Caenorhabditis elegans: one gene and its partners. Changing the gene in region 1 together with any one later gene gives a genetic interaction. Each region holds a gene or a part of one and is shown in the gene's direction. Other genes may lie near its edges.

What was found.
Region 2: of efl-1 (region 1) and trr-1, changing one enhances a phenotype caused by changing the other (phenotypic enhancement), as found in Caenorhabditis elegans (one large-scale study listed by BioGRID).
Region 3: of efl-1 (region 1) and pha-1, changing one enhances a phenotype caused by changing the other (phenotypic enhancement), as found in Caenorhabditis elegans (one large-scale study listed by BioGRID).
Region 4: of efl-1 (region 1) and swsn-3, changing one enhances a phenotype caused by changing the other (phenotypic enhancement), as found in Caenorhabditis elegans (one large-scale study listed by BioGRID).

The regions. Positions count from the first base shown.
Region 1 is NC_003283.11:16,958,818-16,967,862, reverse strand, and holds the start of efl-1 (E2F/DP family winged-helix DNA-binding domain-containing protein), read left to right. Parts: upstream 1-2,187; 5' UTR 2,188-2,189; coding exon 2,190-2,337; intron 2,338-2,383; coding exon 2,384-2,514; intron 2,515-2,561; coding exon 2,562-2,671; intron 2,672-3,329; coding exon 3,330-3,480; intron 3,481-4,268; coding exon 4,269-4,412; intron 4,413-7,465; coding exon 7,466-7,700; intron 7,701-8,801; coding exon 8,802-8,911; 3' UTR 8,912-9,045. Other genes in the region: fbxa-90 (F-box domain-containing protein), read right to left, coding at 192-831, 879-949.
Region 2 is NC_003280.10:11,672,561-11,678,935, reverse strand, and holds the start of trr-1 (Transcription-associated protein 1), read left to right. Parts: upstream 1-3,008; 5' UTR 3,009-3,079; coding exon 3,080-3,217; intron 3,218-3,264; coding exon 3,265-4,050; intron 4,051-4,104; coding exon 4,105-4,403; intron 4,404-4,448; coding exon 4,449-4,572; intron 4,573-4,616; coding exon 4,617-5,735; intron 5,736-5,780; coding exon 5,781-6,167; intron 6,168-6,228; coding exon 6,229-6,375. Other genes in the region: C47D12.2 (Dymeclin), read right to left, coding at 1-317, 368-559, 871-987, 1,038-1,525, 1,588-1,829, 1,877-1,964, 2,023-2,231, 2,288-2,434 and 1 more.
Region 3 is NC_003281.10:11,128,847-11,137,599, forward strand, and holds pha-1 (F-box domain-containing protein), read left to right. Parts: upstream 1-2,952; coding exon 2,953-3,000; intron 3,001-3,612; coding exon 3,613-4,004; intron 4,005-4,056; coding exon 4,057-4,178; intron 4,179-4,247; coding exon 4,248-4,416; intron 4,417-6,391; coding exon 6,392-7,136; 3' UTR 7,137-7,831; downstream 7,832-8,753. Other genes in the region: fbxa-128 (DUF38 domain-containing protein), read right to left, coding at 8,039-8,245.
Region 4 is NC_003281.10:2,762,610-2,771,063, reverse strand, and holds swsn-3 (HMG box domain-containing protein), read left to right. Parts: upstream 1-2,384; 5' UTR 2,385-2,398; coding exon 2,399-2,440; intron 2,441-2,492; coding exon 2,493-2,699; intron 2,700-2,744; coding exon 2,745-2,810; intron 2,811-2,859; coding exon 2,860-3,051; intron 3,052-3,822; coding exon 3,823-3,911; intron 3,912-4,730; coding exon 4,731-4,933; intron 4,934-6,196; coding exon 6,197-6,414; 3' UTR 6,415-7,054; downstream 7,055-8,454. Other genes in the region: ATP-dependent RNA helicase laf-1, read left to right, coding at 32-213.

The DNA.
Region 1 (9,045 bases):
CGCGGAGGAACAACCGTATTTCGAAAGATCGTGTGTTCTAAACACCAAGCTTTTGACTTCTAGCAATAGTGTAGAAATAAGGCGAGAGGCCGGTGTCAAGCAGACAGGTTGAAGGCAGGCGCCAGACCCTAAAACCGCGTCTGTCCCCCATGGAAGCCCTAGTCTTTAAAAAAATCCAGATTTCGACTCACATCTCTAATCTCCAATGCATCATCCGTCGTCAGATCCTTCACATTTATGTCAAATTGAGTGAAATTTACAATATGCTTAATAGGGATCAGAAACTTGGACCGGTTGTTCAGAATTTTAGCTTTCTTCCATTGCTCGAGTTCCACAACGCCATTTATCGGCTCATAGTACTTTAGGAATTGAGCTTGGAGAGTTATTTCTTCGAGAATTTCAGGTTCGAACTTCTGAAGTATTTCAGAAACTTCACGGGCGGTGAAGTCATCGATAATCACTTTTTTCGCTTTTAACTTGAAGTTTAAGGATTCGAAAAATGACTCAATTGCCTTTAAAATGATTTTTCTTTCATTAAAATTGTTGGTAGCCAGCTGTATCAGAAATTCATCAACTTCAGGGTACTTCACCAAGCTCTTCAAGTCCTCCATCAACATTTCAACGTGGTTCCTTCCAGCATGTACTCGGCCACTGTTCTTATATTCAACTTGGCAGGCTCCATCAACTTGCTCATAGGTAACCCCGCCGTAGTTCTCATCGAGAATTAGTCTTGAAAATTTTTCATGAAAATTTACATGAACCGTCTTCAGATTTGGACCGAGGTTATCGATTATTGCTCGGAAGCTGTAGGACACTTTTCGAGCGATTAGCCTGAATTTTCAATGCTTTTTTTCTTTAAAAAAACAAGGAAAACTCACCTTTCCAAAGCTTCCAGATTATTCAAAATTTGTTCAATAAGTTCGATTGGCAAGTCGGAGAGTGATGACATTTTGAGAAATTTGAAGAAAAAATGAAGTGATTTCAACACAGTTCTCTGTGACTAGTGGCCTAGTTGGACAGCGCAGAGACGCAGGCGCACCAGCTGACTAGAGAGTATGAGAATCAGACACCGAAGGTGTTTCAGAACTGGCCGCCAACTTGAACCTGTAAAATGTAGGCACAGCTTGAACCCTTGGCTTTAAATAAAATGTAGTCTTAGTTTGAAACCATGTGTATTCAGACAGGCTTTTCACTGTCTTACTTCCAGAAATTTCAGGAGTCGCATACGAAATTTACGTAGCAGTCATCGAAATTTTAAACAGAAAGCTAAGACCTGCGGCTAAGCCTGAGACTAATTTTAGGCCAAATTTTTGAGCCTAAGCCTAACTATTAGTTAGACCTTCTTATGTATTTGGCGATGGCAAAACGGTAATATCGAAGATTTTCAATTATTTTTGCCATTTTTCAAACAGTTCATGTGTATTCGTATTAAAACATTGTAGGGGTCGAAACATGCGACATTTCTTTAAATTTCCTCAAAAGCTCGTATTCAAAATTTTGGTAAATTGCCAAAAATTTTTTTTTGAAGTTTTATTATGATATTTGATCTTTTTTACACTATTGGAGTAGTTTTTAACACTTTCCCCACTGACGCTACTCCACCTTTAATAACGTGGTGACGTCACAATCTTTTTGTAGATCAAACCGGCATGGGACAGCCTGACACCACGTGAAAATACCAAAGGAGGCGAAATTTTACAAATTCAATTTTTGTTAAAACTGATTTGAGCCCACAAAAACAAAAAAGTGATGGCTAAAAAAAAGTGATGGTTAATTTCACGACACTACTTGAATAACCCCATTTTATCTGAATTTACGGTTTTGCCGCCAAATACCTAACGGGGCCCAATTTTTTTGGGTTCTAACTTTTTTTGTCTTCAAATTCAAATTTCCCCTTATTATACATTCAAAAAACCACGTACTTCTTTCATTTTTATCTTCTCATTCAAGCGAAACTTTTTCCCGCGGAAATTTGAGTGCAAGCGCGCTCCACTGCACCTTTCTCGTCTGCGTCTCCACCTTTCCCATTGTCTCTAATCCGTGACGAAACCTCATCATTTCTCGCATTTTGGAGGGGAATTCAAATTGATTTCTCTTGGTTTTTCTCGTTTTTTCTTGATTTTTCTCGTTTTTCAGCTCATTTTTAACCAAAAAATCGGATTTTTCAACTAAAATTCCGCATTTCAGCCATGGAAGACTCGTACAACGACATGGAAGACCCCGGCTTCCGCCAATTATCTGACATGGAGCTTCAAAAAGCGCTGGAAATGACCAAACAGAGCTCGATAAAGAACAATTTGATGCTCGGGCTCGACAATGAGCTTGACTTTGATTTTGGTACAATATTTGTCGAATTTTAAGCCGAAAACCCCGAAATTTCCAGATTTCGACGAGGATGAGGACCTGGATCAACCACAAATGGGCACACGAGCCGATAAATCGTTGGGATTGTTGGCGAAACGATTTATTCGAATGATTCAGTACTCACCGTATGGAAGATGCGATTTGAACACTGTATTTTTGAAAAAAATCGTGAATTTCGCAATTTTCGTATTTTTTAGGCCGCCGAGGCGCTCAATGTCCGGCAAAAGCGACGAATCTACGATATTACGAATGTTCTCGAAGGAATTGGTCTTATTGAGAAAAGAAGCAAGAATATGATACAGTGGAAGTAAGAAAGTCGAATTTTCAGCAGGAAAAATGACGTTTTTCAATGAATCGGCGGAAAATCGTATTTTAACAAGAAAAATGACATGTTTAGAAAAAAAATCAATTTTGTGTCAAAATATTGATTTTTCAGCTCAAAAAGCTTAAAATGCAAGAAATTTCGGAAAATTTCAGATTTTTACGTGAAAAATCGCATTTTCAGCCAAAAAATGGCGCTTTCCGGCAAAATGGATGAAAATCACATTTTTTGGAATATAGCTCCTATTTCCTGTAAAAATCGATAAATTCGATTTCTAAAACACTAATTTTTGAGATTTTTCACCGAAACAAATCGAATTTTCATATGAAAATTTCATTTTTGACACAAAATCACTTTTTAAAGTTAAATTTTCAATTCAAAGCTCAATTTTGTGGCAAAATCCTTATTTTTCAGCTTAAAAACATGAAAATTGCTGAAAATTTCAGATTTTTACGTGGAAAATCGGGTTTTCAGCCAGAAAACACAAGAAAAGGTCATTTTTAACACAAAATTACATTTTCAAAGCCAATTTTTCTATAATAGCCTCAATTTCGCTCCAATTTCGGTGAAAATCTCTATTTTCCGGCTCAAAAACCGCTTTTTTGCACATTTTTCCCCGGAAAACTCAATTTTTTGTTTTCAGAGGCGGTGATTTTATGCTAAACGTGAAGGAAGGGAAACGACAATCGGCCACAACAGAAGAAGAAGATCGAATGGAACAATTAAAAGCTGAAATTGAGCAATTAAATAAGGAAGAAGAGCTCATTGAGCAACGTCAAAGATGGCTTCAGCAGGTAGCGAATTTCCAGAAAATTTGATGAAAAATTTGCTGAAAATCGATGAAAATTGAGCCAAATTTACGCAAAAATTGGCTGAAAAATGACCAAAAATTTCAGAAAAATTCAGCCGAAAATTGAGAATTATTTGCTGAAAGTCGCTAAAAATTTGATCAAAATTGAGCAAAAACTGGCTAATTTTGATAGAAAATTGAGCAAAAATCACTGGAAATAAGGCTGGAAATTGGAAAAAATTTAACCAAAAAGTCCTGAAAAAAATAGAAAAATTCAGTCGAAAATTCTGGAAAAATATGGCTGAACATCATTAAAAATTGAGCCGAAATTTAGAAATAATGGGGCTGAAAATCGCTGAAAAAAGCTGAAAATTTGACTTAACTTCCTGAAAAATTAGTCTGAAAATCGTTGAAAACTGCTGAAATTTTGCCAAAATTTCCTCCAATTTTCTGAAAAAAATATGGATGAAATTTCGAGAAAATCAAGATAAAAATGGTGCCAAAATGATGAAAATTTTGTAAAATAAATTCTGGAAATTTCGGCTAAAAATTGCTTGAAATTGGTCCAAAACTGCTGAAATTTGGCAGAAAATTTCTTAAAAATTCAGTCAAAACTTCTGGAAAATTCGCTGAAAAATGGTCAAAAATTCATTAAAATTGCGGACAATTTTTCTGAAAATTTATAGGAAATTTCAGGCAATCTGAGCCAAATTTTCCACAATTTTTTTTTGAAATTTTTGGTCAATTTTTCGACAGTTTTAAGCCAAAACCGCTGAAATTCTCAAATTTCAGAGCCTCCGAAACATGACAGAATCCGTGGAGAACAACAAGCTCAGCTATGTGCTCCGTTCACAGCTCGCCGAGATTCAAGGCTCAGATCTTACGATTGGAATTCAAACGAGAGTCGGCACACAAGTTCGGCTCAGTGATCCGGAGGTAGAGAAGAAAATGACGCGAAAATTGGAATTTTCAATGAAAATTTAATGGAAAAACCTGGAAAATTGTGGAAAATTCATATTTTTCTTGGAAAAAACGGGTACAAAACCCGATTTTAACTGAAAAAAACGCTGATTTTTGCTCAAAATTAATTCTTTTTAAGAATTTTCGATGAGAAAAATGAATTTTTTAATTTAAAATACATAAAAAACTAGAAGACTGTCCAAAAACCGAAATTTCTGTCAAAAAAGTGTAAAAACTTCTCCTCGTGGAGTACACGAGCTGCGTAAATCTACGCAATATTTTTCTGTGTTTTTTGTATGCAAATTTGTAAAAAAAATATCAAAAAAATAAATTTTTGGCTGAAAAACGGTGAAACATAATTTTAAACAATATTTAAATACAAATTATTTGTTCTAAAAATTTTTTAAAAATTCTTAAATTTCCCTGATTTTTAGCAAAAATAACGAAAATTCTTCAAAAAATTTGATTTTCTGCTAAAAAAAGTGTAAAAGCCTCCCCTCGGGGAGTACACGGGCTGCGTAAATCTACACAAATAATTTTTTTCAGCTAAAAATTGATAAAACGAAAAAATTAAATAAAAATGTTAAAAAAAAAGAAGAAACTTTTTCAATTTTTAGAAAAAAAAAAGAAAAAAAAAGCTCCTTTTTCCAAAAAAAAGCAGAATTTTTTTTTGTAAATTTCCCAAAATTTGGCGAGTTTTCATTTTTTTTTTGTTGTAAATTTGACGATTTTCGTAAAACTGTCGTAAAATACAAAAAAATAGACTTTTTTTCGAAATATTTTGTTAAAAATCAGAAAAAAAATTTTTTTTAATTGATTTTAAAATTCACAGAATTTTTTTCGATAAATTTCAGAAAATTCCTGAAAAAACTGAAAAAGATTTTCAAAAAAAAAAACGCAATTTTCGCTCTATTTGGCTCTAAAAAACAAGACAATTAAACAAAAATCAGAATAAAAATTTTAAAAAAATTGTTTATAAAATTTTTGATAAATTTTAGAAAATTTCGGAAAAATCTTCTTTTTTTTCAAAAAAAAAATCGAACATTTTCAATTTTTATTTTCCCCCATTTTTTCCAATGAAATTAAAATTGCAGCAAGTCGATTTTTGATCGAAAAAAAGCATTATTTCTATGTGAAATGCATAAAAACCTATTACGGGAACAATAAATCATGAGAATGCGTACTTGGTGCATTTTATTTGACGCGCGATATCTCTTAGCGAAAACTACATACAGTAAATGCTTAAATATCTATTGTTATTTGAGTTCTTACTGTAGTTTTCGCTAAGAGATATCGCGCGTCAAATAAAATGCACCAAGTACGCATTCTCATGATATATTGTTCCCGTAATAGAAGACTGCCCAAAAACTGAATCTTCTGTCAAAAAAGTGTAAAAGCTTGTCCTCGGGGACTACGAGCTGCGTAAATCTACACAATATTTTCCTGTTTTTTTTCTCAATTTTCGCTTTTTTTTTTGTATGCAAATTTGTAAAAAATATCAACAAAAATTTTTTTTTGGCTGAAGAACGACGAAAAATAATTTTAAACAATTTACAAATCATTTGTTCTAAAAAATTTTTTTTAAATCACACTTGTTTCTTAAATTTCCCTGATTTTTAGCAAAAATAACGAACATTCTTCAAAAAATTTGATTTTCTGCTGAAAAAGTGTAAAAGCCTCTCCTCGGGGAGTACACGAGCTGCGTAAATCTACACAAATAATTTTTTTTTTGGATAAAAAATTGATAAAACGAAAAAATTAAATAAAAACGTAAAAAAAAGAAGAAACATTTTCAATTTTTAGAAAAAAAAAAAAGGAAAAAAATGCTCTTTTTTTCCAAAAAAAAAGCAGAATTTTTTTGTAAATTTCCCAAAATTTGGCGAGTTTTCATTTTTTTTTTGTTGTAAATTTGACGATTTTCGTAAAACTGTCGTAAAATACAAAAAAATAGACTTTTTTTCAAAATATTTTGTTAAAAACACAAAATTTTGTAAAAAATCCGAACAAAAATTATTAAAAAATTCATAGAATTTTTTTTGATAAATTTCAAAAAATTCCTGAAAAAACTGAAAAAGATTTTCAAAAAAAAACGCAATTTTCGCTCTATTTGGCTCTAAAAAACAAGACAAATTAAAAAATATCAGAATAAAAATTTTTAAAAAAATTGTTTATAAAATTTTTGATAAATTTTAGAAAATTCCGGAAAAATCTTCTTTTTTTTCAAAAAAAAATTTTCAATTTTTATTTTCCCCCATTTTTTCCAATGAAATTTTAAAAAAATTGCAGAAAGTCGATTTTTGATCGAAAAAAAGCATTATTTCTATGTGAAATGCATAAAAACCTAGAAAACTGTCCAAAAACCGAAATTTCTGCCAAAAAAACTAAAAACTTCTCTTCGGGGACTACACAAGCTGCGTAAATCTACACAAAAAATTTTTGTGTTTTTTTTTTCTCAGTTTTCGCTTTTTTTGTATGCAAATTTGTAAAAAAGTATTTAAAAAATAAATTTTTGGCTGAAAAACGACGAAAAATAAATTCTAAAAATTTACAAATTATTTGTTCTAAAAGATTTTGAAAAAATTACACTTGTTTCTTAAATTCAGCAAAAGCAGAATTTTTTTGTAAATTTCGCACAATTTGGCGGTTTTTTAATGGAAATTTGACGATTTTCATAAAATTGTCGTAAAATACAAAAAAAATAGTTTTTTTTCAAAATATTTTGTTAAAAATCAGAAAAAAAATTTTTTTTAATTGATTTTAAAATTCACAGAATTTTTTTTCGATAAATTTCAGAAAATTCCTGAAAAAACTGAAAAAGATTTTCAAAAAAAAAAACGCAATTTTCGCTCTATTTGGCTCTAAAAAACAAGACAATTAAAAAAAAATCAGAATAAAAATTTTAAAAAAATTGTTTATAAAATTTTTGATAAATTTTAGAAAATTCCGGAAAAAATTTTTTTTTTCAACAAAAAATCGAAAATTTTCAATTTTTATTTTTTCCCCATTTTTTCCAATAAAAAAAATTGCAGCAAGTCGAGATACACGGTGGACCATCTTGGTGTTACCTGAAAGATCCCTCTGGACCCCTCCGAGCCGCCATCGTTTCCAACCATGAGCTACATGATTTTGTACAGAGAGAACGAGCAAAACGGCCTGGTGAAGAGCACGTTGACGCTGATGCTCCAGATGAAATGATGGATGATTCAAGATATCGGAATCGGCGGACGATCAATGATGATGAAATGTTTGGTTTTGAGCAGAAAGGTGCTGCTGAATTGCTGGAAATTTTGCTTATTTTTTAAAGCAGAATTTTGAGAAAAAATGGATTTTTTTCACTGAAAGTAGCTAAAAAATAGCTTAAAAATGAAGAATTTTGAAAAAAAAAATTGGAAAAATCATCATTTTTTCCAAGAAAACACCAAAAAAACTGGACTTTTATGGACGTTTTTTCGAAGCTAAAAAATCCAAAAAATTTACTTTTTCTGATAAAAAACATTTTCCTTTTGTTTTCTGCACCGTTTTCTAGAGTTTTTCGAATCGAAAAATAATTCTCAGATTTTTTCACATGAAAATTTGAAATTTAAGCGAAAAAAACATCAAAACTGTTTTTTAACAAAAAAAATTGAAAAAAAAAACCGGAAAACCTAGAAATCCGCCAAAAAATTTGAGAAAATTTTCACAAAAAAAAGCATAAACTGAATTACATAAAATTCTTTTAAAAATTACAGAAAAACTGGGAAAATTTGGGAAAATTACCTCTTCTTTTTAATTTTATTTTTCGCATTTTATGAACGAAAAGTTTGAAAAAAAAACGTTTTTCCAGCATTTTTTGCCCCACAAACTTAAATTTTAAATAAATTTTCTAAAAAAAAATTCAAAACCCTAAAACTCCTCAAAAGTGTTCAGAAATCCGAAAAATTTGTTGTAAATTTTTTTTTTAGAAAATTTTAATTGAAAAGGCGATACGTTTCTTTCCGAAATGTTATGAGCTGAAATTGTAAAAAATTTAAATTTATTTTAAAAAAACTGCTAGTATTAAAAAAAAACTTTTTCACTTAGTCTTGATTTCAAATTTAAAAAAAAAATATTTTTTCACCAAAAATCAAAATTTGAACCACAAAACCACAAAAAATGCCGAAAGAATGCTTGATTTTTAAATTTTGGCATTTCCTCCAAAATCCACGACCAATCAGCGTCTTCGATCTCCGCCCACTTCTTCTGATTGGTTGAAAAGTGGGCGGAGTGAATCGCTGATTGGTCGCATTTGGAAGTTTTCTAGATTTTTTTCCGTGGTTCTTTTGTGGGTTTTTCTGAGTTTAAGAGCTTTTTACAGCAAAAAAAATGTTACTTTTCCAATTTTTTCAGTCCCAGCGATGAAGCATCTGGAGCCACCACCGGCCAGCGATGACTACGTTTATTCGAGCACCGGAGACGAGTATCGAGGAGATTCTATAGTCGATTTGTACGGAGATTAATTATTTTAATATTTTTTTTTTAAATTTCGAATTCTGCGACCATTTCTCATTTTACATCTATTCATTTACTCCAAATTCCAAATTTTTCCCCAAAAAAATTATCGATGTTTCGGCTCCAAATGTTATTATTTTCC
Region 2 (6,375 bases), on another chromosome or scaffold:
CGGAACTTCAATTCTGGGAACTTTGCGAGTCGATCGGTTGGCCATATGTTTGCCTCCTTCTCGATTATTTGCAGCATTGTGGATCCATCGCCTGCTGGGACATGTATCACTTTCGACGAGAAGTGAGAGATTACTGCTGCGATGTTAACAAGAAGATCTTGGAACATTGGGTGCTGAACGTATGCATCGAATAGAGCACGATGGTAGAGAAGGTTGTAGATGAGGTGTGAATTGTGACGGAGTCCTCCACAAAGTGCACTGTTGATGATCTCAAGGAGAGTTCGAATTCCTTCTTCGAGAGCAGTAATGTCGTCATGCTGAAATATTATACTTTTTATTTGGATTTTTGAACAAAATATGAACTTACGAAATTGATCGGCTGTCCATCTGCAACATCATTCTGACTGCTGACTCTCATATGATCCACCATTTTAGCATGCCGTTTTGTTAGAAGATCAAGCAGTGATATGAGTCTTTGGCAAACAATTGGAGCAAGATTTTTGAAGAAAGCTGACATGTTTGCAAGAGCAGCTAAGCAGTTTGTGTGAAGATATCGGTCCTGGAAAAATTTGAGTTTGGTTTAAAAAAAAACAAAATTTTGTATCTTCAGGTAGCAACTGTCGGTTTTTCGCTTTTTCAATTGTTCGATTTTTCGATTTTTAAAAAAGGAGCTTGATATATTGGCCATTATTCTTCTTTTTAGATGAAACTTTTATGTTTGTTCTTATCAATATAAACAAAATTAGATAAAAAATCATATTTTATGGTTAATTTTCTGAACATTTTTTTCGATTTTTCGATTTCCACTGAAAAACGTCAAAAAATCGAAAAAAAAATTGAAAAATGACACCCTTGGTAGCAACAACTAACTCTAGTTTTCAAAGCATTCTTCTGAATTGCTCGAACCAGCACAAGAGTTGTCAAACCTCCGAGAGAGATCTCGCGGACACTGAAATCACTGTCCAGCCAGCCGAGATCCTTGATCATCTGCAAATATATACTTCAATATAATCTTAGCATTTCTAGTGAAAACTCACCGTCTCGTGTATAATCTTGCAGAAAATATCATCTTCACTGAGAATCAAGGCGACAATCAATGCAAGATAAACATGGTGAGAGTTGTTCGATGTCGCGACACCGTCGTGAAGAATTCGAAGAACAGGAACAACTAGATTCTCGAGGTTGATCCGAGACAACACATAGTTCCGGAATCCCGAGTTCGCCTGTAGAAGCATGTAGAGTAGAAGCATCGGAGGTTCCTGGCCAGCGGTAGCACACAATCTTTCGTATAATCCATTATAATCGATTTTGAACGACACAATCTGAGTAGGCAATGTGGATACTTCTTGAGCATTTTGGAAGAGAGCAAGGGTTTCTTTGAATGGATTGGATGAATTGAGAGGTTGATGGCATGAAAGATTGAGGAGAAGCAGGATGCTTAAGTTTCCAAGAGTAAGTGGGGGCTTCTTTTCTTCCTCTGCGGAGTCGATACCAGTTGCCATTTGGACCATTGACCACATTGATGCTTAAAAATCGTGTTTTTTTTTTAATTTAATAAAGAATTAAAAAAGATTTTCAGTGACATACAAGCTAATCCAAAAACAATGCTCTCTTGTGGCTTTTGTACAGTCATGTGATACTCTGAATTGTGGATCAAATAATTGAGAAGAAGAGTTTTAGTGAGCGAAGCTGCGTGTTTCGCACATGATCCATCAATAAAGAATCTGAAGACAATTGAAGTATTCACAATTGATTCATTATATAGTTGAGAGCTCAGGAGAGTTAGGAGACATCGAACTGCTTCGACATGGATTGCCAATGTTGTTTCGCTGAAATTATTTTAATTCAATTTTTTAAAAAATAATTTAAAACTCACTTTACAGAAATATTGATTAAAATCGAAACCAGCTCATACGTGAACTCTTCTGCAGTGTTTTGAAAAACTATCGGGATATATTTTGTCGCTGAAAACGTCAGAATTTGATTATTATTGAATTTTTTTTTTAAATGAAGCTTATTTACCTCCATTATTATTTTCGTTTTCTGATTTCTGTTCGTCATCATCTTCCTCATCCGACGAGGAAGATGTAGACGACGATTCGGTTTCCGTACTCTCATGACTTTTGGCGAAAATCCTCACGAATTCTTTTTCCGTCATACGTTGAGTTAAAAATCTGGCGATGTAACGAAGAATGAGAAGAGCGTTTGATGTTTGCCATAAGTAGATTTTACTGAAATAAGAAAAAGCTTTAATTAAATATAATGATGATTTTTTTTTCCAACTCACTTTTCGCATTGTTCTGATGTTTTTAGTTCTGTGGCTCTGCGAAGGAAAAGTCGAATAAATGCAGCGAAATTTCCTGTTGTTTGTGTATTGTACATTAGACATTGAAGATGATCATCTAAAGCAGATTCCAAAGCGATTCGGGTGTCTCTAAACGATTATAACATTTTTAAAGCTTTTGCCTAATTTTAATCCTTACTCGTCGTCATCATCAAACTTGAGACTGAAAGAGAGAAGTTTGTTCCAAAATGGGTCATAATCGTCGACAGGTTCCAAACCGCTGAGTTTCTTCAGATAAATATTCTCCTGTAAGACCGTTTCCTTGGTTATAACTGATCCCATGTGTCTGAAATTTGTTATTACACTGTTAATAATCATAAAAATAAAAGAAAAAGTCAAGAAAGGGTCAAATATTAATCAGGTCACATCTTTTTTATTCAATAAAATCTCCTCTCTCGTTCGTGGCAATGCACGTGAAATGCGCCAACAACCGCGAGTGCGCCAACACACACACATACGCGTCAGCAGACAATTCGCTCTCGTTTGAAATTTAGTTGTTTCTTTGTTTCTGCTGAAATAATGTCAGTTTTCCGATAATTTCAGCGTTTTCTGACTGATTTTTCTTGTTGCATTCACTTCCTAATAGTTCATTCTACTCCATTCTTCATTTTATAATCTGTTTCCTTCGCAATTTAGTGAATTAAACACGTAAATCTTGTTTCAGATAAATTATTCAAATAGTTGCACAAAGCTCAATAGTTTAGAAGTATCTTCAGTGCTGGTCACTAATACAAAATGGATCCGGCTATGGCTTCTCCAGGCTATCGGTCTGTGCAGTCCGATCGGAGTAATCACCTAACAGAGCTGGAAACGAGAATTCAAAATCTTGCCGATAATTCACAAAGAGATGATGTCAAATTGAAAATGTTACAAGTTAGTTTCAATAATTCGTGTTAAGTAATCAATTTGTTCGGTTGCAGGAGATTTGGAGCACAATCGAAAATCATTTCACACTAAGTTCGCACGAGAAAGTCGTGGAGAGGCTCATTCTCTCGTTCCTACAAGTTTTCTGCAACACAAGTCCACAGTTCATTGCTGAAAACAATACACAACAGCTTCGAAAGTTAATGCTTGAAATCATTCTTCGACTTTCGAACGTAGAAGCCATGAAACATCATAGCAAAGAAATTATCAAGCAGATGATGAGGCTAATCACCGTGGAAAATGAGGAGAATGCCAATTTGGCTATCAAAATTGTCACCGATCAAGGGAGAAGTACCGGCAAAATGCAATATTGCGGAGAGGTTTCACAGATAATGGTCTCCTTCAAAACAATGGTCATTGATCTGACGGCGAGTGGTCGAGCTGGTGATATGTTCAACATAAAAGAGCATAAAGCTCCACCGTCAACTAGCTCCGACGAGCAAGTCATCACTGAATATTTGAAGACTTGCTACTATCAACAAACGGTTCTTCTCAACGGAACGGAAGGAAAACCGCCATTAAAATACAATATGATTCCATCAGCTCATCAGTCAACGAAGGTGCTCCTGGAGGTTCCGTATCTCGTGATTTTCTTCTATCAACATTTCAAAACAGCGATCCAAACCGAAGCGCTTGATTTCATGAGGCTTGGTCTTGATTTTCTAAATGTCAGAGTTCCAGACGAGGATAAACTCAAAACAAATCAAATAATAACCGATGATTTTGTCAGTGCACAGTCCCGATTCCTGTCATTCGTCAACATTATGGCTAAGATTCCAGCGGTAAGTTTCGTTTTTTCAAGTTTTTTTTCTGTAATCCTGATTTTTATTTTTCAGTTTATGGATCTTATCATGCAAAATGGACCGCTTCTAGTGTCGGGAACAATGCAGATGCTCGAGCGGTGCCCGGCTGATCTGATAAGTGTCCGACGAGAAGTTCTGATGGCTTTGAAGTATTTCACATCTGGAGAAATGAAGTCGAAATTCTTTCCAATGCTACCTCGACTCATCGCTGAGGAGGTTGTTCTGGGAACAGGATTCACTGCGATTGAGCATTTGCGAGTTTTCATGTATCAAATGCTAGCAGATCTGTTGCATCACATGCGAAATTCTATAGACTATGAAATGATCACACAGTAAGTTTGAATAAGACTTTCTGATGAAAAATGTTGAAATTTCAGCGTGATTTTCGTATTCTGTCGCACTCTTCACGATCCTAACAACTCTTCTCAAGTCCAGATTATGTCTGCTCGGCTGCTCAACTCACTGGCCGAATCTCTGTGCAAAATGGATTCACATGATACCGTAAGACTTATTCTATCAATAATCGTATCTCACTTCGAAATAAGTTTCAGACTCGTGATCTGCTCATTGAAATCCTGGAGTCGCACGTGGCCAAGCTCAAAACTCTTGCAGTCTATCACATGCCTATTCTCTTCCAACAATACGGAACCGAAATAGACTACGAATACAAAAGTTATGAGAGAGACGCCGAGAAACCTGGAATGAATATCCCAAAGGACACTATACGAGGAGTACCGAAACGAAGAATCCGTCGGCTCTCCATTGATTCAGTTGAAGAGCTGGAATTCCTGGCATCAGAACCATCCACGTCGGAAGATGCAGATGAGAGTGGTGGAGATCCGAACAAGCTTCCTCCGCCAACAAAAGAGGGAAAGAAAACGTCTCCCGAAGCGATTTTAACCGCCATGTCAACGATGACACCTCCTCCATTGGCAATTGTTGAAGCTCGAAATCTTGTGAAGTATATAATGCATACGTGTAAATTCGTGACAGGACAATTGAGAATCGCCCGGCCATCACAGGATATGTATCATTGTTCGAAGGAGCGAGATTTATTCGAACGTCTTCTACGATATGGTGTAATGTGTATGGATGTATTCGTGCTTCCAACAACTCGAAATCAACCACAAATGCATTCTTCAATGCGGACAAAAGATGAGAAAGATGCTCTGGAGTCGTTGGCAAACGTTTTTACAACAATCGACCATGCGATATTCCGGGAAATCTTCGAAAAGTATATGGATTTCTTGATTGAAAGAATTTACAATCGGAACTATCCATTGCAATTGATGGTGAACACCTTCTTGGTTCGAAATGAAGTGCCATTCTTCGCATCTACGATGCTTTCATTCTTGATGTCTCGAATGAAATTGCTGGAAGTTAGCAATGACAAGACGATGCTATATGTGAAGCTCTTCAAAATTATCTTCTCCGCCATCGGAGCCAATGGCTCTGGGCTTCATGGAGATAAAATGCTCACTTCATACCTCCCAGAGATTCTCAAACAGTCAACTGTCTTGGCATTAACAGCTCGTGAACCTCTCAACTATTTCCTTTTGCTTCGTGCATTGTTCCGCAGTATTGGTGGTGGCGCTCAGGATATTTTGTATGGAAAGTTCCTGCAGTTACTGCCAAATCTTCTTCAATTCTTGAATAAATTGACGGTGAGTTTCATTTTTTGATATATCGGTAATACACTAAAAATCCAGAATCTTCAGTCATGTCAACATCGGATTCAAATGCGTGAGCTCTTCGTCGAGTTGTGTTTGACTGTGCCAGTTCGACTCAGTTCCCTTCTGCCATACCTACCGCTTCTGATGGATCCACTGGTGTGTGCGATGAATGGGAGTCCGAACATAGTTACACAAGGATTGAGAACATTGGAATTATGTGTGGATAACTTGCAACCTGAATATCTTCTCGAAAATATGCTTCCTGTCCGTGGAGCTTTGATGCAAGGCCTCTGGCGTGTTGTATCGAAAGCTCCAGATACATCATCGATGACAGCAGCGTTCAGGATCCTCGGAAAGTTCGGAGGAGCCAATCGAAAACTTCTGAATCAACCGCAAATTCTTCAAGTAGCCACTTTAGGCGACGTAAGTTTATTTAGTTTATTCTCTTCCTCGTTTTAAGTTCTAACATTGATCCTATTAACAGACTGTTCAGTCGTACATCAATATGGAATTCTCGCGGATGGGACTCGATGGCAATCACAGCATTCACCTGCCACTGTCCGAGTTGATGAGAGTCGTTGCCGATCAGATGAGATATCCAGCTGATATGATCCTTAATCCAAGTCCTGCA
Region 3 (8,753 bases), on another chromosome or scaffold:
CAATTCTGAACTGTTTTATAAATAACCTTCTGGGAAATTCGAGAACATTTCAGAATATTCTAGAAGCTTCTGGAAATTTGAGAAAATTCTGGATTCCTCTGAAATTTACTGGAGAATTCGAGAAAAACTTCTCTGAATCGCAAGGGAGCTCAGGCAACTCAAATCTAATATGAAAATATTAAATAGCAATATTTTTGTAATAGTGCGTCCATATAAGATTACTAAAAATTTCGAATAGATTTCGATGTTGTCTCAAAGATTACAATTTCATCTCAAAATATTGCGAAAGTGTGAAAATTTCTAGGAAGACTTCCGTTTTATCTCAAAATATTACTAATTTGTCTCAAAAGACTGCTCAAAAGAAAATATTGCTCAATCTAAAAATATTTCGAATGAGTCTCGGGATATTGCGACTTTATCTCGAAATATCACCAAACTACAAAAATATTGCTATTTAATATTTTCATATTAGATTTGAGTTGCTTGACAATGAGAGGCAGAGTTATGCGAAAATATCTTACCTTCCGTTCAGCCTTCATTTCCCGGGTTTCTTTGAAAAGTTTGAGTAGGACACATGTAGATCACAATTTATTCACAATTAATTTTGTATTTCTGTTTAATGTCTCCATTTTTCCATTATTATGAAAGTGGACAATTAAACACACAGTAGGGTTTTTCTTCTTCATGGTGCACTTTGCATTCTCCTGTTATACAGAACAAAGACATTAGTGGGTATCATGAAGAAAATCGATAAGTACGTAGATAAAATGCGCTCTGGTGGACACCGCAGCAGCCATTCAAACAGAACTCAATTTAACCGAAAATTTAGGAGAAAACTTAAGTATTATGTTTTTTTTTTTCATTTTATTTTTGTTAATTACCTTATTCCAATGTTAGTAAGGTGTATCTATTAGTATTGTATCAAAATTATCTCTTGAAAAATAGTGTTGCTCTTCTAATAGTGTTGCATGCAATTATACCCCTTCATTTTTTCTCTATAATTGAGGCTCTAAAATTTGAAGTATAGCATTGTTCTATAAATCAGGGAAATTCTTACAGACTTGGTGTAACAAGTCAAAGTTGGTAAAATATGAGTACAACTTAGATGATTTTCGCGTATCAGTGGTAAAATGTGTTATTTTGGTCCGATTTTTGTTATTGAAATTGATGAAATTGTGTCAGAAAAGCCTTGCTCGAAAATAAATATGGCATCCTCTGTTAGTTTTGCACCCTCTAGTAGTATTGCATCTAAACAGTTGTCCGAAAATTAGTATTCACGGGGGGGGGGGGGGCAAACCTTACGTACATACACTAATTTTTACAGTAGTCGCATTTTTAAATTGGATTTTTCTCGAAAATTCAAGCTGTTTTTAAGTTTTTTATTAGCGTATTTATTATTGAAACAAAATCAAAAAAAAAATTCTTCACCTTATCACCCTGGATCTGCTGGCCCTATATTTGTTGTCCCTGTTAATTTTAATTGTAAAATAATTTTTTTGATTGAAAAATCAATATATAAAACATATTTACATACATATAAAATGTGTAGCTATAAAAATTAAAATTGGAATCGCTTGTTTCAGTTGTTCCTACTAAAAAATACAACTTGAAAAGAAATGGGTCTCTAATGCAGCTGTCCACCAGGGCTGTGCGGCTGTCGGCGTCAGCCGACAGCCGAAAAAAAAAGTAACGACCCAATGCCAATAGTATATGACGTCATCTATTACGCTGCTATAGGTCCTTTCCCACTTTTTTCCATTGTGCAGTGTTTGCGGAGTAGACTCTTCATTAGTTTCTTATGTATTAAATACCGACGTTTCAAATATAAATGGCTTTTTAGATACTTTTTTTACTCTCAATAACATTGCTTTTCAGTTTTTACGGCAAATATTCTTATACTCCCTCATATTTTACTATAGTAAGTATGTACATACATGTTCCTATTTACTAAAGTGTTTTTTAAAAAAATAAGTTACTTTGATCATATATTTGTATATTTGAAACCTTTTTTATAATATTCGCTCATTTTAGCACCTTATAAATTTTTTTGCAAAATTATTTCCAGACAATCCTAACCAAAGTTATTCAGACCAAAACTTCCATGAAAGTTGGCAGTAAACACAGAAGCATAGCTCGACCAAGAAAATGTTCCTATTTTTCTCAAAAAAAAATTTTCCAAAGAGCTTCTCGAATTTTTTGTAGTGACATATTTCAAAACTCTTCTTTCAAATGCAATAGGTTTTATTTTAAAAGTGTAAAATCGAGCTGAAATATTTACATTCGCTGTTAGGTTTTGGAATAATATTTTCTTAGTATAATAAACGTTTATTAGATTATTTTATACATTTTATAAAAGACTTCTAAATTTATAATGATTATTGCTGACCATTACGGAGGTTTATTCATCGGAAACATTTGGGGGTCACATGCATCTGCTGCACAATTAATCAATTTTATTTTCAAAATTGGATAGTTTAATTTTAGAAACCTTTTTTTTAAAAAAACAAATACCGAGAAAAATGAAATATCCAACAAAACATATTTTTTGAGTTATTGCTCTTTTTCTGCTATACCTCCATTAAAATTATATATTATATATATATATATATATATATATATATATATATATATATACATACCAGCCGTGGACCCCACCTCTGGCGCGGCCCCCGACTTCTGGGTCTAAAACTAATTTTTTCTGAAACTACCGTAACCCTACAGTATTCCTACCGTGCCACTATTGTACCACTACAGTACCCCGACTATATCCCTACACTAACCCCAACTAACTATCCCTCCAGAAGCCAAAACTTCTGAGACTACAAAGACTACATAGACTACAAACTATGGACACACAGAATAAGCGCTTTATATATAGTAAATGATATATATATATATATATATATTTATTTATTTATTTATTTTCAGACAATCAGTCAAAGTTAATCTCTAATGAATACTCCTAATTCAAGCTGCACAATCCTTTTCGAAAATTTATACGTGAGTAAAACTTATAGTACAGGGTGCGGTGCTTTTATCAACAAATTTATGACCCTGTTGTATTATGAATGTGTCTTTTTAATCGAGTTATTCAAGTAATTTTACGGAATGTATTTTAATACACCTTATGACCGCGCAACTGTACTAAAATATATGTTTTTGGTTACTTGAATAAAGCAAAAGGAGAATTTAAATACCATAGCCCTATAATTAAAAAAAGGTACATGGTGCGACTCAATTATGGTAACACCCTAACGTTGAGCGTGCCAAATTTGCATTTTTCAAATGGTATCAAATATGTATAGCGTTTTTTTTTAAAGTTTATTTTTCTCAGCGCCTAGGCGGCTTGAAATCAAAAGTATTCTGGTTTGAAACAATTATAAATAAAATGGTTTTGCAATTTACGTATGGGAATGGAAAACTTGAGAGGAAAAGTTTTATTGTTTTTGTTCACAAAAAATCTTCGAAATTGGCACACAAAGAAATGAAAACACCGTTTTCATCACGTTGCTCGATGATTTCTCCTTGCGAATAACATAGCAGGAAACAAAGTTATTATTATTAATAAAAATAGAAAAATATGTTATCTTTTAAAAAAACTCTCATTTTCAGGACAATGATCTCGCCTTGAAATTGTTTAACAATCGAACAATCGTCGACAATATTCTGAGAAATGTGAAAGGCGATATAAACAATCGACTGGAGCTTCGTGTAAGTCATCGGGGAGCTTTCTCTGCTGAAACCATTTTCTCGGGAAATTTAGTTTCCTTAATGCCCTTGCACCGTAGTTACACAATATTTAAACCAAGACTAACCAGTTTTCAGTTAGTCAACAAATCATTCAATTTGGCAGCCATTCATGTGATTCGAAAAGAGAATCGAACTGTGGTATTTCACAAGTTTAATCGTTGTGACAGACTCCATAAAATTTCTCCATGTCCAGATTGTTCAGTCCACTTGAATTCTGTGAAGCTTAATAAGAAAAACATATTCCAATATGCAAGGTGGGTATAAAAATATAAAAATCGAGGAGTTTTGTTGTACATTACATTTCAGGTTCTTAAAACAAACCATGAAGATTATGGTAATCAAAATACGAATCGAAGACTCAAAAAGAGTATGCTGTATGATTACCGATGTTCATCAAGTTATTCATAAATCATTGATAGGTTCAGATTGTAAGTCTTGATTATCTATCGTTTTGTAAAGTGACTAAACTTTAATCATTAAAGTATTCGAAATTTTAGATGATAAGGTTGAAGAATTTGTTGGTATTGATCAAATATCTTTTTCTACATGTATTCCATGTGAAAAGATAGCTGCAAATTGCAAAGTATTCGGACCAGTTCAAAATGACATGTTCAATGCTATTCTGAGACTAAAACACCATTATGATGTTTTACAGGTCAAAGACATGTGAGTTTTAAAGCTAGAAAATTATACATAAAATTATCGAATCGCCGATTTTCAGGTGTTTTCGGAAAATATTATTTACAGTTTAGAGGTTGTTTGAAAAAAAAAACAATTGTTTTGAAAATTTCATCTAAAGTTGAAGCTCAACGATTGAAAAAAAAACATGAATTTTGACGTAAAGATAAAGACTCTGATTCAGTAGTGCGCGACAACCGGGAAAATTTTGAAAATTTTCAATTTTTGTATGAGCTCATGTCAAAACCAGAGCTCAAACCATCCCCCAAAAAATAGTCAGAGGCTAATGCCGACAAATACCTCAAACGTTGATTTGACCAAAATTTTGTAGAATAGCATATTGGAGACGGAATAAGTATTATATTTTGAATCAGCATTCTAATACTTTTTGCACTGAAACACCATCCTCAAAATTTGATCACCTGGATCGAATTCCACAAATTTTTGCTGCAAGCAACGTTTATGACATTTGAAGAAAATAATGTGAGTGTCATCCTCTGACTATTTATATATCCTAAAATGAGTCTAACAAAAAAGAGAGCGTATAATTAAGAAGAATTCTTGATACTTTTCCGATTTCTGTCCCCCCCCCCAAATGTTTTTCAATTTTATAACACTCAATATTTCAATTTAAATTCACACGTGAATGTTTCTTTAATTACTATTTCAATTTTTAAGCTTAGAAAACAACAATACTAAGCCTGAAATTACAAAAAAGTTCACGTCTCATTAATGAAAATATCAAAAAAATTTTGGGGGAGGGGCAGAAATCGGAAATATAACGAATTCTGAAAAAAGACCAAAGGTTTCACACTATATTAGGCCCATTAAAGGTGGTGTAGTCGAATTTGAGACTATACTTAAAAACATTCTCTATGCTCGTACAAGTTGATATGTATAAGCGAAACATCACAAAAATTTCGCTAAACCGAGTTATGAGCCTTCAAAGTGCCGAAAAAAATGTCGCCGTCCATCTAATTTGAATTTCGCACGCAAATGAGCACCCCCTCGCGTGTACTCCTCTCGGACAATCAAATAATTAATTTCTCGATTTTCAGCAATTTTAGATGATTTTTCGTACTTTAATGAGCCTATTCTGGGTTTTTATTAGAAATTAATGTTTAAAGAGACAATAAATCATATTTTGTAAAATATTTAACGTAAAGCAGTTCAAAAAATGGAGTAATAACTGGATAATGCAATAAAATGTGAGTTTTGTCTATTTTTAGGTGTCATTGGGCAATCAATCAGTTTAAATTGTATTCATAGACATTGGCTCGTCGTTAATTCGATTAAAACATCGAAAAAACTATGAAAAATCACGATAAAATACGAAAATTGCCGAAAATCGAGAAATTAATTATTTGATTGTCCGAGAGGAGTACACACGAGGGGGCGCTCATTTGCGCGCGAAATTCAAATTAGATGGACGAAGAGATTTTTTTCGGCACTTTGAAGGCTCATAACTTCCTTTAGCAAAATTTTTGTGATGTTTCGCTTTTACATATCGACTTGTACGAGCATAGTGAATGTTTTTAAGTATAGTCTCAAATTCGACTACACCACCTTTAATAAGTTTTACCGTTTTTTCTCAGTATTGTTTATTGTAAGATATATGTACCAATTACAGGGCGTTTATTGAGTTTTAACGTCTTAAAATGTGAAACATGTGCTAGAATGAAGATTTAATTTGCTACACAGATTTGGAAAACAATACATAATTGCGCTTATAGTCCAAATTATTTTTTCTGAAAATAGTAGAAAAATCGTGATTTTACGCGAAATGTACTCAAAAATCCGAGGTTAATACGATGCTTAATGCAAGAGGACAATAACTTTTCTAAAAGTTTTCAGTTTTCTCATTAAAAAATTTTTAAAAAAGCAGTACACGCACTGTAGTAACAAAAACTATTTTACTAATTTTGGTTCACTCATTATAAGTTTGCAAAATCTGAATTTTCAGGAGACTCTACAAATTAATGATACTTAACAAAGAAGATCCGACAGTAGTTGAAGACTTTATCAATTCGAATATCACATGCTCAAAATTAACCATTTTTCTAATGTATATGTACGAAAAGGAGGCATTTGGATACTCTCTACCAAGGGAGTTTCTGGATTTATTGATTAAGAAATGGAATGTGAAAACTGTGGAGATTGTTCCAAGACAAGACCAACCAATACCTTACTATTTCCATTGTAACACTGATTTTATTGTGCCAAAAGCCAAGTTTTATGTGGATTACTGGACTCAACCAAGGTCAAAATACACATTGGATGGCGTTGAAATTGATCTACAACTCACAAAAGTAGTCGAACAACAAATAAAGAATCGGAAATCACTATTCGATAATTTTATTGCCAACGCTCGCAGAATCTTTCCCAGCAATAAGATCACTGTAAGATTCTCGAAGGAAGTTTGCCAAGAGATGATGAGTCAAGGAAATGTTGAAGATTTTATATCGGGAATAATATTGATGACTCAAAAGGATGCTCAACCTAACTCGCATATATCTCTCAAATTATATCCTGAAGAAGTAGATGCCCCTTTAATTGATTCGTTTCTACGTGAAAATTTCGAGAAGAAATTTGATTCTTGGAACCTCGAAACCGTTTCAGACAGTTCTGCAAATCTCCCAGCAGAAAAATGTTATCAGTTTTTCAACCAGTCAACAAATTGTAAGATTATTTTTTATATTTGTTGCTAATCTCGCATGGATTTAGTAACCATTTTTGACAAATACTCTTTACCACTTCAATACGCTTTAAATAGATAATTATGAAGTAAAAATCTGCTAATGTGAAAACTCAAGTAGTGAAACAGTATTTGACAAAAAAATCATATTACATCCATAAAAATACTACTCATTTCTACTGAATTCTGAGAACGCGTATTGCGCAACGTGTCTAAAGTAAATATCTCGTAGCGAAAACTACAGTAATCCTTGAAATGACTTCTGTAGCGCTGATCCGATTTTGCGTTATTTTTTCTAAATAATGGATAAAAACTTAAAAAAAAACATCTAAACGAACAAATTGGAGGAAAATTAAAAAACGCTATCGCAATTTGAGAATAAATTTGTTTCTAACGGCATTGACATCAGTGCTACAGTAGTCATTAAAAGAATTACTGTAGTTTTCGCTACGAGATATCTTTCACGTCAAATATGATGCGCAATACGCATTCTCAAAGTTTAGTGTTCCCGTAATATTTGTTACTGCCAAGAACCCACCGTGTGTTCAATTATAACCCCAACAATCAACCTAGCTATACTTAACTTCTTCCATAGTTTTTTTCTATTTTCCCTCTTTTATTGGCACCCCACTCCTTTTTTACATTATGTGTAATCTCTATAATATTATATTTCCTTGTTTTTTTTGCCTTTTCCTGTTTTAATGAACTCTTCAATATTAGTTACAAAAGTAGTAAAAACTAAAAATGTTTGCAGAATATTTCAAAGCAACGGGGAAACAGTGAAAGTTTTTCTTGTTGGTTTTATGGGCCACTAGAGGTATTTAAGCATTTTGTACTAAAAAATTTCATTAAAAATTTCATTAAAAATCCAGAAATTTATCGAAAATATGCAAGATCAAATTGAATGACAACCGATTAAAAGGAATGAAGTATATTGGTAATCTTGAAGTGGTAGGGACTCATGTCAATAATAAATTCATTAACTGTTTCCTTAAGTGTCATTGTGAATGTTTCAGCAGAGTGATTGGAAAAGTCAGGTTTGAAAATTGTAGCGATTTCTTGAATGTTTAAGAATGGGAGATGGATGTAACAGTGCAAAAAATTGGACGATTTGACGAGCACCTGAAAATTTATTTTACAACTAAATTATATTGGAGATAGACTAGTTGGGCCAAAATCCATAATTTTTTTAAAAATAAAATTTTTCCAGCCGCCTGAGGATTTGTTTAACTGTCAGCTCTCTTTAAAGTGTTTTATAGATTTTATTTTTAAGGGGTTGCAATCTAAAATTGTTCTGTTGCACTGTTTTGCAAAACTTTTAGAATAGTTAGTTGAATAAATTGTTTAGAAAAATAGCTTGAAATCTTAATTTTTTTGAATACGACAATCATAATGTTCTATTTTCTTTTGTTAATTTTTTGAATATTTTTGAAACAATGTTTTTTTGATTTTACGGAAAGTCGATTAATCATAAAAAGGTGGGCAGCAAAATTTCCGGCAAATCGGCAAATTGCCGGAATTGAAAACCTATGGCAAATTGGCGAACCGGCAAGATGCCGATTTGCCGTAAGTTTTCAATTCCGGCAAGTTGCCGATTTGTCGGAAAACGGTAATTGCAAAAATTTTTGGC
Region 4 (8,454 bases), on another chromosome or scaffold:
CAAAAAAAAAATTTTAACCATCAAATTCCAGGTCGCGATCACCGTTATCAAGGTGGAAGTGGAAACGGCGGAGGCGGCAACGGAGGCGGCGGTGGCTTCGGAGGCGGTGGACAACGTTCCGGTGGAGGCGGTGGATTCCAGTCAGGCGGTGGTGGAGGTCGCCAACAGCAACAACAGCAACGTGCTCAGCCTCAACAGGATTGGTGGAGTTAAATGACTCGCCCATGTCTCTCGCCCACTCATTTTTAATCGTTTTTCCTTTTTCTCCAAAAATTATTCTTTTTTTTTTCATTTTTCCCCCATTTTTTTCTTTCCAAAAATCTTAATGTTTACACCCAATTTAGTATATTTCTTCCCCATTGTTTTTGCTTTAAAAAGTCCCAAAAAACTCAATTTTTCAATTTTCGCCAAAATTTTGTTGCTGAAAACGAAAAATTCCAATTTAATCAATTTTTGAACACAATTTCCAAAAAAAAAAACCGAATTTTTGCGAGAATTTAGATTTTTTTTTTGGAATTTTTGGAAAAAAAAACTGATTTTTCGATTTTTTTCCAAAAAAAAAACCCAATTTTTTGAAATTTGGAAAAATATTCCATTTTTTTAAACAAATTTCAAAAAAAATCATTTTTTTTGTTGAAATTTTTGGAAACTATTTTTCGATTTTTTTGAAAAAAAATCAATTATTCTGAAAAAATTCCAATTTTTTTCAAATTTTTGGAAAATTCCTTTTACAATTTTTGAAAAAAAAATCCAGATTTTTCGAAATTTGGAAAAAGTTCCAATTTTGTGAAATTATTGGAAAAATTCTTTTTTTTTTCCCCCCAAAAAAATGACCAAAATTAAAAGCGATTTTAAATTTCAAAACAAAATCCCAAAAAACCAAATTTTGCGAGATTTTCGATTTTTTAAAGCAAAATTCCCATACCCCCACCCCCCCCCCCCCTCTCCTTAAGCAGTTTGTTGTAACTGCTCGTCGCTAAAAAAAAGTGGTGTGTGCCTCGAAAAAGTCCCCCCACCCCCACTACTTTTCCTACGTGTGTGTGTCGCGTTGTCCACGTTGTTTTGTGCTGCAGCTCCCGAAAAAATTGAAAATTTGCCTATCTTTGTTGGCTCTTCCCGTACGGCTCCTGGTTTCCTCTATGAGGCATAACCAGGCAGGCGATTACGGTGGCGCTATAAGGCAAATATCAAATGCATCACCCTCTCAACTTGTTGGTATTTGAACTTTAATTGTGACAATTTTTAAATATATAGGATATTTTATTAATTCAAATTCAAAATTTCTTTTTAGGTAGTAACTTATTTGTTGATTTTTCGTTCGTTCGTTTTTCCTGTGAAAAGTTCTCGAAAACTACTCATAATTATTATGATAATGTCCTATAGAGTGATAATATTCTCTCAATTGTCATCATTTCTCTCAGATTTCTTCTCCCCCACCTGTGACACACACTGTTTGAAAATGTGCTCTATTGTTTTTCAGTGGCTCATCTTTTTGTTGTAAGCACATCCCCCCGAAGGTATCGAATCTCGTGTGCAACGTTCACAAGTTCTCGATCTGTAGCGACGGGTTTCCACAGACATCTTCTTAATTTTGACCCCTTTTTTTTTGGCTTTTTCTAGGTATTCCCCCCCGATTTTCCCTCCTTTCTCTATTTTTTTTTCGAAAAAAACTATTTAATAATCATATTGGATGAATAAATTAAAACAAAAAATTTAGTGTACTCTTTGGCGCACCTACCATCATCGCCGCGGTGGCCGAATTGCAAAAACTAGGCCATTCAATATTCGCGCCAAAAAACAACACTTTTTCGGCGCGAAATTTAAATTTTAATACACAAAAAATGTTTTTTTTTGCAAAAAAAATTCAGTTGATGCAAACTTTTTCAGAAATTTGAATTTTTCTGCCAATTTTAATAGTTTTCCTCAGTCTTTCATTGGATTTTCATTTGATCGATGTTTTCTGAAAGTTTTCCTAATTTTCTTGTAATTTTCAGCTTCCAATCGAGTTTTTATTAAATCCAGAACAGAAAAATACAGTAAAATCGGCGAAAAGTACAAGCTTTTTGACGTCGGCGCTCCTTTTTGGCTTGCCATTCCTGGAAAATTAATGAAATTTCGCTTTTTCAGCAATTTTCATGTTTTTTGATGTTTTTTTCCTTTTTTTTTGGCTTTTTCTCCAAAATAATAATTAAAAAAAAACCACGTGCGGCACTCTTGCAAAAACCACGTGCCAGGCTTGCCAAACAAAACCACACCTACAATGAGCAAGCGCGCCCCACTGGACATTGAGGGGATTTTCAAATTAAATCGATTTTTTTGTATTTTCTTGGTGTTTCTTCTGGGTTTTCCAGTCGAATTTCTGTTTAGTTTTTGAAAATTTAATATTTCAGATTGAAAAATGTCATCTTTCCGTCATCCGCAAGCCACACCGGCGAGAAATGTGAGTTTTCACGCAAGAATTTGGTTTTAAATTCAAAAAATCACCAATTCAGTTCCAAGATATGTCATCGCGTGGTCCAAAAGTACCAGAAAGACCACTTCAACCCTACATGCGATACAGTCGGAAGATGTGGCCAAAAGTTCGCGCCGAGAATCCAGAAGCCCAGCTTTGGGATATTGGAAAAATGATTGGAAAGTATTGGTTGGACCTTCCGGACGGTGAAAAATCGCATTATCAACATGAATATGAGCTTGAAAAAGTTAAAATCAACGAGAAATTCCCGTAAAAAATGATTATTTTTCAGGCAGACTACGAAAAACAAATGAAACATTTCCAAGGAAACGGAATTTCCAATTTTATGATTAATAAAGTGACTTTTTTCAGCCGAAAAATACATTTTTAAATACATTTTCTTCCAGGGACGCGCGAAGAACAACGAAAAAATGTCGAGAAGCCGAATGGACGCTGGCGGAGTTGTAATTCAACCGGTTGACGAGGATGACGGTGGCAATGAATTGAGCACCCGACGTCTTGCGGGTGTCAGATTTGAACGAAATAATCGATTGATTAGTGATTTGTTCTCGCCGAGCATCGTTACTGATACAAGAACTGTAAGGGATTCTGGAAATCCTGAAAAATTGGGTTTTTGCACAAAAAATGCTCATTTTGACTTGAAAATACTGAAAAAGCTGGGAAAAATCCATTAAAGCGAGCATTTCAGCAACAAAATCGTAAAAACTGAATTTTTAAACGAAAATCGTTAAAAATTGCTTATTTTTAGCAAAAATCTCAGAGAATTGGATTTTTTGCACACAAAATGCTAATTTTGACTTGAAAACACTGAAAAAGCTGGGAAGAAGCGAGAAAAATCCATTAAAACGAGAATTTGAGCTACGAAAATTCGGAAAATTTTGATTTTTCGAATGAAAATTAAATTTTTCAGACAAAAACCGTTTGAAAAGTGGATTTTTTACGCGAAAGTCACAAAAAATTTAATTTTTGAGCAAAAATTGCTCATTTTAACTTGAAAATACTGACAAAGCTGGAAAAAGCGAGAGAAATCCATTTAATTGAGCATTTGAGTCGTGAAATTCGTTAAAAAACTGAATTTTTTCAATGAAAATCGTTAAAAAGTGGATTTTTCGAAGGGAATTTGAATTTTTCAGGCAATAATCGTTTTAAAAAATCTGATTTTTTCGATAGAAGATCGTGAAAAAACTGGATTTTTTGAGCAAAAATCTCGGAAAACTAGGATTTTCAAAGAAAAATCGCTTAAAACTATGAATTTTCAAGAAAAAATCACAAAAAACTGCATTTTTTTGCTCAAAAAGCTCAAATTTCTCTATTTTTCTCCAGAATTTTCAATTTTTCCCAATTTTCAGGTAGTTCCACACCACCGAATGGAGATGTTGAAGCGACAGGCGACATCTCTTGGTACTCATCAGAGCAAACTTGAAGAAGAGCTCACAAAGTAAAAATTGATACAATTTCACTATGAAAATGCTGTAAAAATCGATTTTTTGCCCAATTTTTCACGGAATTTGAGCAGTTTTTGATCTTAAAATTGAAATTTTCAGCAAAAAATCAAATTTTACATGTGCAAAATGTGTAATTTTTCAGTTTTCGGAGATATTTTGGAGTAAAAACCGAAAAAATGTTATTTTTTGGATTAAATAATCGATTTTTTATCGTAAAAATCGAAATAATTTATTTTTTTCAAAAAAAAAAGCGAAAACTTGAATTTTTTAGCCGAAAATTCTGAAAATTCTAATAGCAAGAAAAATTGAATTTTTAAGCTTAAAAATCCGAAAATTCTTCAAAAATTCGAATTTTTAAGCCTAAAAATCTAAAATTTCTTCAAAAAAATCAAATTTTTTTCCTAAAATCTGAAATTCCTAAAAAAAACATTTTTTAGTCTAAAAATCTGAAATTTCTTTTAAAAAATTGGATTTTTTAAGCTTAAAATCTGAAATTTCGAGTTAAAAAATTCAAAAAAATTATCTAAATCTAAAAATCGAATTTTTAGGCCTAAAATCTGAAATTTCTGAAAAATACGAATTTTTGAGCCTAAAATCTGAAATTTCTTAAAAATTCAATTTTTTAGTCTAAAAATTTGAAATTTCTAAAAAAAATAATTTTTTTAAGCTTAAAAATCTAAAATTTCTAAAAGATTACATTTTTTAAGCTTTAAAATCTGAAATTTCGAGTTAAAAATTCAAATAAATTTCAAAAAATTATCTAAAAATTATCTTTAAAAATCGATTTTTTTCCCAAATTATCCATCTTTCAGACTGGAAAGAGCCCATGACAATCGAAAAAGAGCCATCGAAAAGGGCAGTGACGACTTCCAAGAGCAATTGAAGAAAGCTGTTAGTGAAAAACCAGTTGTAGATGAGGAAAAGTTTGAGGAAACTGTTAAAGAATGGGAGGAGAAGCTTGCGACAGCTTATGAAGAATATAAGAAGAAACAGGAAACTACAGCAACTCAAAATGGTGAATATATAGAGAAAAAACACGCTGAAAATTCGATTTTATTGAGAGATTTTGGAAGAATTTTATCTTAAAAAATGGCAAATTTCCAGTGAAAATCTGAAAAAAAAAACAGTTTTTTTTTTCTAATTTTTTAGACCAAAATTGTCAAAAATTCCAATAAAAACCCCTGTGGGGACAATTGTTAGGCTAAAAGTGAAAAAAAACCTTCATTGGCAGAAAATGTGTCCCCCTTGCACAGGGTTTTTAATTGAAAATTTGAAATTTATTGAAACATCAACTCAAAATTGTGAATATCTGCAAAAAACACGCTGAAAAATTCGATTTTATTGAGATTTTTGAAGAATGTTAGCTCAAATATCGCAAATTTCCGGTGAAAATGTGAAAAAAACGTTGTTTTTTTTCGAATTTTTAGGCCAAAATTGTCAAAAATTCCAATAAAAACCCCTGTGGGGACAATTTTTAGGCTAAAATTGAAAAAAAAAACCGCTTCGATGGTTGGGAATGTGTCCCCACAGGGGTTTTTATTGAAGTTTTTGGCTGTTGTGGTTAAAAATTCTATTAAATACCCCTGTGGGGACACATTTTCAGCCTCTGAACCGTTTTTTTTTAATTTTTAGCCCAAAATTTGTAGAAAGTTCCAATAAAAACACCTGCAGGGACACATTTTCTGCCATTTTTGCGCTAAAAACAGTCCAATGCCAGAAAATGTGTCCCCACAGGGGTTTTTATTAGAATTTTGACAATTTTGGTTAAAAATCCCAATAAAAAACCCCTGCAGGGACTCATTTTCAACCATTGAGGCTTTTTTTTTCATTTTTAGACCAAAGTTGTCGAAAATTTCTATAAAAACCCCCTGTGGGGACACATTTTCCAGCAATTTTTGTGCTAAAAATTAAAAAAAAAACGGTTCAATGGCAGAAAATATGTCCCCGCAGGGGGTTTTATTGAAATTTTAACAATTTCGGTACAAAATTCCAATAAAACCCCCTGCGGGGACACATTTTCAGCCTCTGAACCGTTTTTTTTTAAATTTTTAGCCCAAAAATGTCATAAATTTCGGCAAAAAACCCCTACGGGGGCACATTTTCTGCGAATTTTTGTGTAAAAAATGTGTCCCCGCCGGGGGTTTTTATTGGAATTTTTAACCAAATTTTCAAAATTTTCAATAAAAAACCCCTGCGGGGACACGCAGCATTCTTATCAAAAAGTGATCAATCATCATTGTGCTGTGTGCTAATCATTTATTTTTTCCAATTTTTTCAGCGAATTCAGCGCCACTGTTAAGAAATTTGGTAATGGAGGAGACACCGAAGACGCCGGAGCAAGAAAAAGAGCAAAATGTCAAGGAGAAGCCGGCGGAGAGCACAGAAACACCAGCTGCTGGCACAGAGCCAAGTACAGATGATGGAGCAATTGAAACTACTACCACTACTACTACTACTGAAAATAAGGAAAAGCCGGAAGAAAAAATGGAAGAATAAATGGTCGCCCGGGAAATTTAAATTCACCAACAAAAATCTTTAATTTATTACTTTTTTACCCTATTTTTTAATTTTCCGCCTCTGAAAAACACCACCTTTTTACCCGTAAAATGGGCGGAGCCTAACAGACCACGCCCACAAAATGGGCGGGGCTTTATGTATTTTTTTAAACGCAAAATATCTCATTATATTTCGAAAAAAAATTAAATTTCGCAGAAAAAAATTCCCCAAAAAATTGAAAAAAAAATGGTTAGGCCACGCCCACAAAATGGACGAGGCTTTATTTTGATCTCAAAATTATTCTGAAAAAATTCAAAAAAAAAATCCGCGATTGTCTATTTTGTGGGCGTGGCTTCTTAGCTTTTTCGCTTTTTTTAAATTTAAAAAAAAATAAAACCGAAAAAGTTAAGCTCCGCCCATTTCTGGCCATTTTTCGAAAAAAAAATTGTGTTTTTTTTCGAATTTCCCTCTTCCAATATCCTCTTTTCACCAATTTTCACACAGAATCTCTCGATTTTTGTTATGTATTTTATTCATTTCCTCCTATATTTTTTATTTATTCATTTATTGTTCTTATCAAATTATCAACAATACACATTCATATATATATATATATATATATATATATATATGTATTTTAAAAAATTGTCGAAAAATCGGGAAAATTTTTAAATTTTTGAAGAGAAAAACAAAAAAAAACAATTTTTCCGAAAAAGTGAAATGTTCGAAAAAATGGGCGGGGCTTGGTAGACCACGCCCACAAAATGGCTGACCATTTTATGGCCGTGGCCTATTGAGTCCCGCCCACGTTTTGCATTGAAATTTCAAAAAAAAAATTTTTTTTCGTTAATTTTTGTTTAAAAAACTAGAAAAAAATCAACAAAAAACTAATTTTAAAAAATTAGATTTCGTAGAAAACAAATTCCCAAAAATTTGAAAAACAGAAAGCCACGAAATGGGCTGAGCTTAATTTTTATCTAAATATGTTTTAAAAAATCCCAAAAATCGCAGATTTCAGGCTTCTGCCTCTTTCCTAAAACCCCCATCTTGCCTCATACACGCGTTTTCGGTGTTCAAAAAATGTTCAAAAAATGTCCGAAAAAATGTAATACAATTTTGAACGTTTATATCTCGGCTCTCACGGAACCGATTTTTGAAATTCTTTTTTCTCTACATTCACAAAATATAGCGACGTGTGTTCATCTAAAAGGGGGTTGATTTGGGAGCATCCTGTCGGCTCCACAAGCGGAAAACCACACCCCTCTTGTTTTTGCGCACACCGAAGTACTGGTCGAAAACCACTTTAAATTGAAGGAAAATTCGAGTTTATGTTCAAAACGTTTGAGACTCGAAACTTAAGTTCTCCTTTTCAATACCTATCCACTGTATCTAAGTTCATTGTGATATCTCTATTCTTTATTTTAAAAACGATAATTAAAGTTTTGCCAAAATTTCTGCACCTCCCCCCTTTTCTCACACACACACACCCACCTCCCCTTTTCATATTTGGTGTGTTTTCACCATTGTTTCGGTCAAATCTCCGTTAGTCTTGCTCACTTCTTTCAAACAATTTACATTTTTCCATAAAATTCACAAACTTTCCACTATCGTTCCGGTTTTTACGTTAAATTTAGAATTTATAGAATGATTTAAAATGAAATCTCAAATCACAGCTCGATCCGATCACTTTTCGCGGAGATAGGGTATTTAATTTTTGCACATGGAAATCCAGTTTTCCTCTGTTCCTGGACAAGTTTTCAACTATCCTTTCGATTTTATGTTTTAATTTTGATAATTTTCATTGAAGCAAGGTAGAAAAACTAAATTTGGTCGGTCTTGACAACTTTCAGCACATTTGTGGAAGTTTCGAGCTTCCAGGCCTTCCCAGAAGGTGATATGTTTCAATTTTTGTTATTTTTTAAAATAATAACCGCCGTATTATTCCACTTTTTACGCCAATTTCAAATATTATTTTATTTTTTTCAAATTTCCACTATGAGCAAAGTTATGACGGATTGAAGTCTTAGTGCATAACTCCTC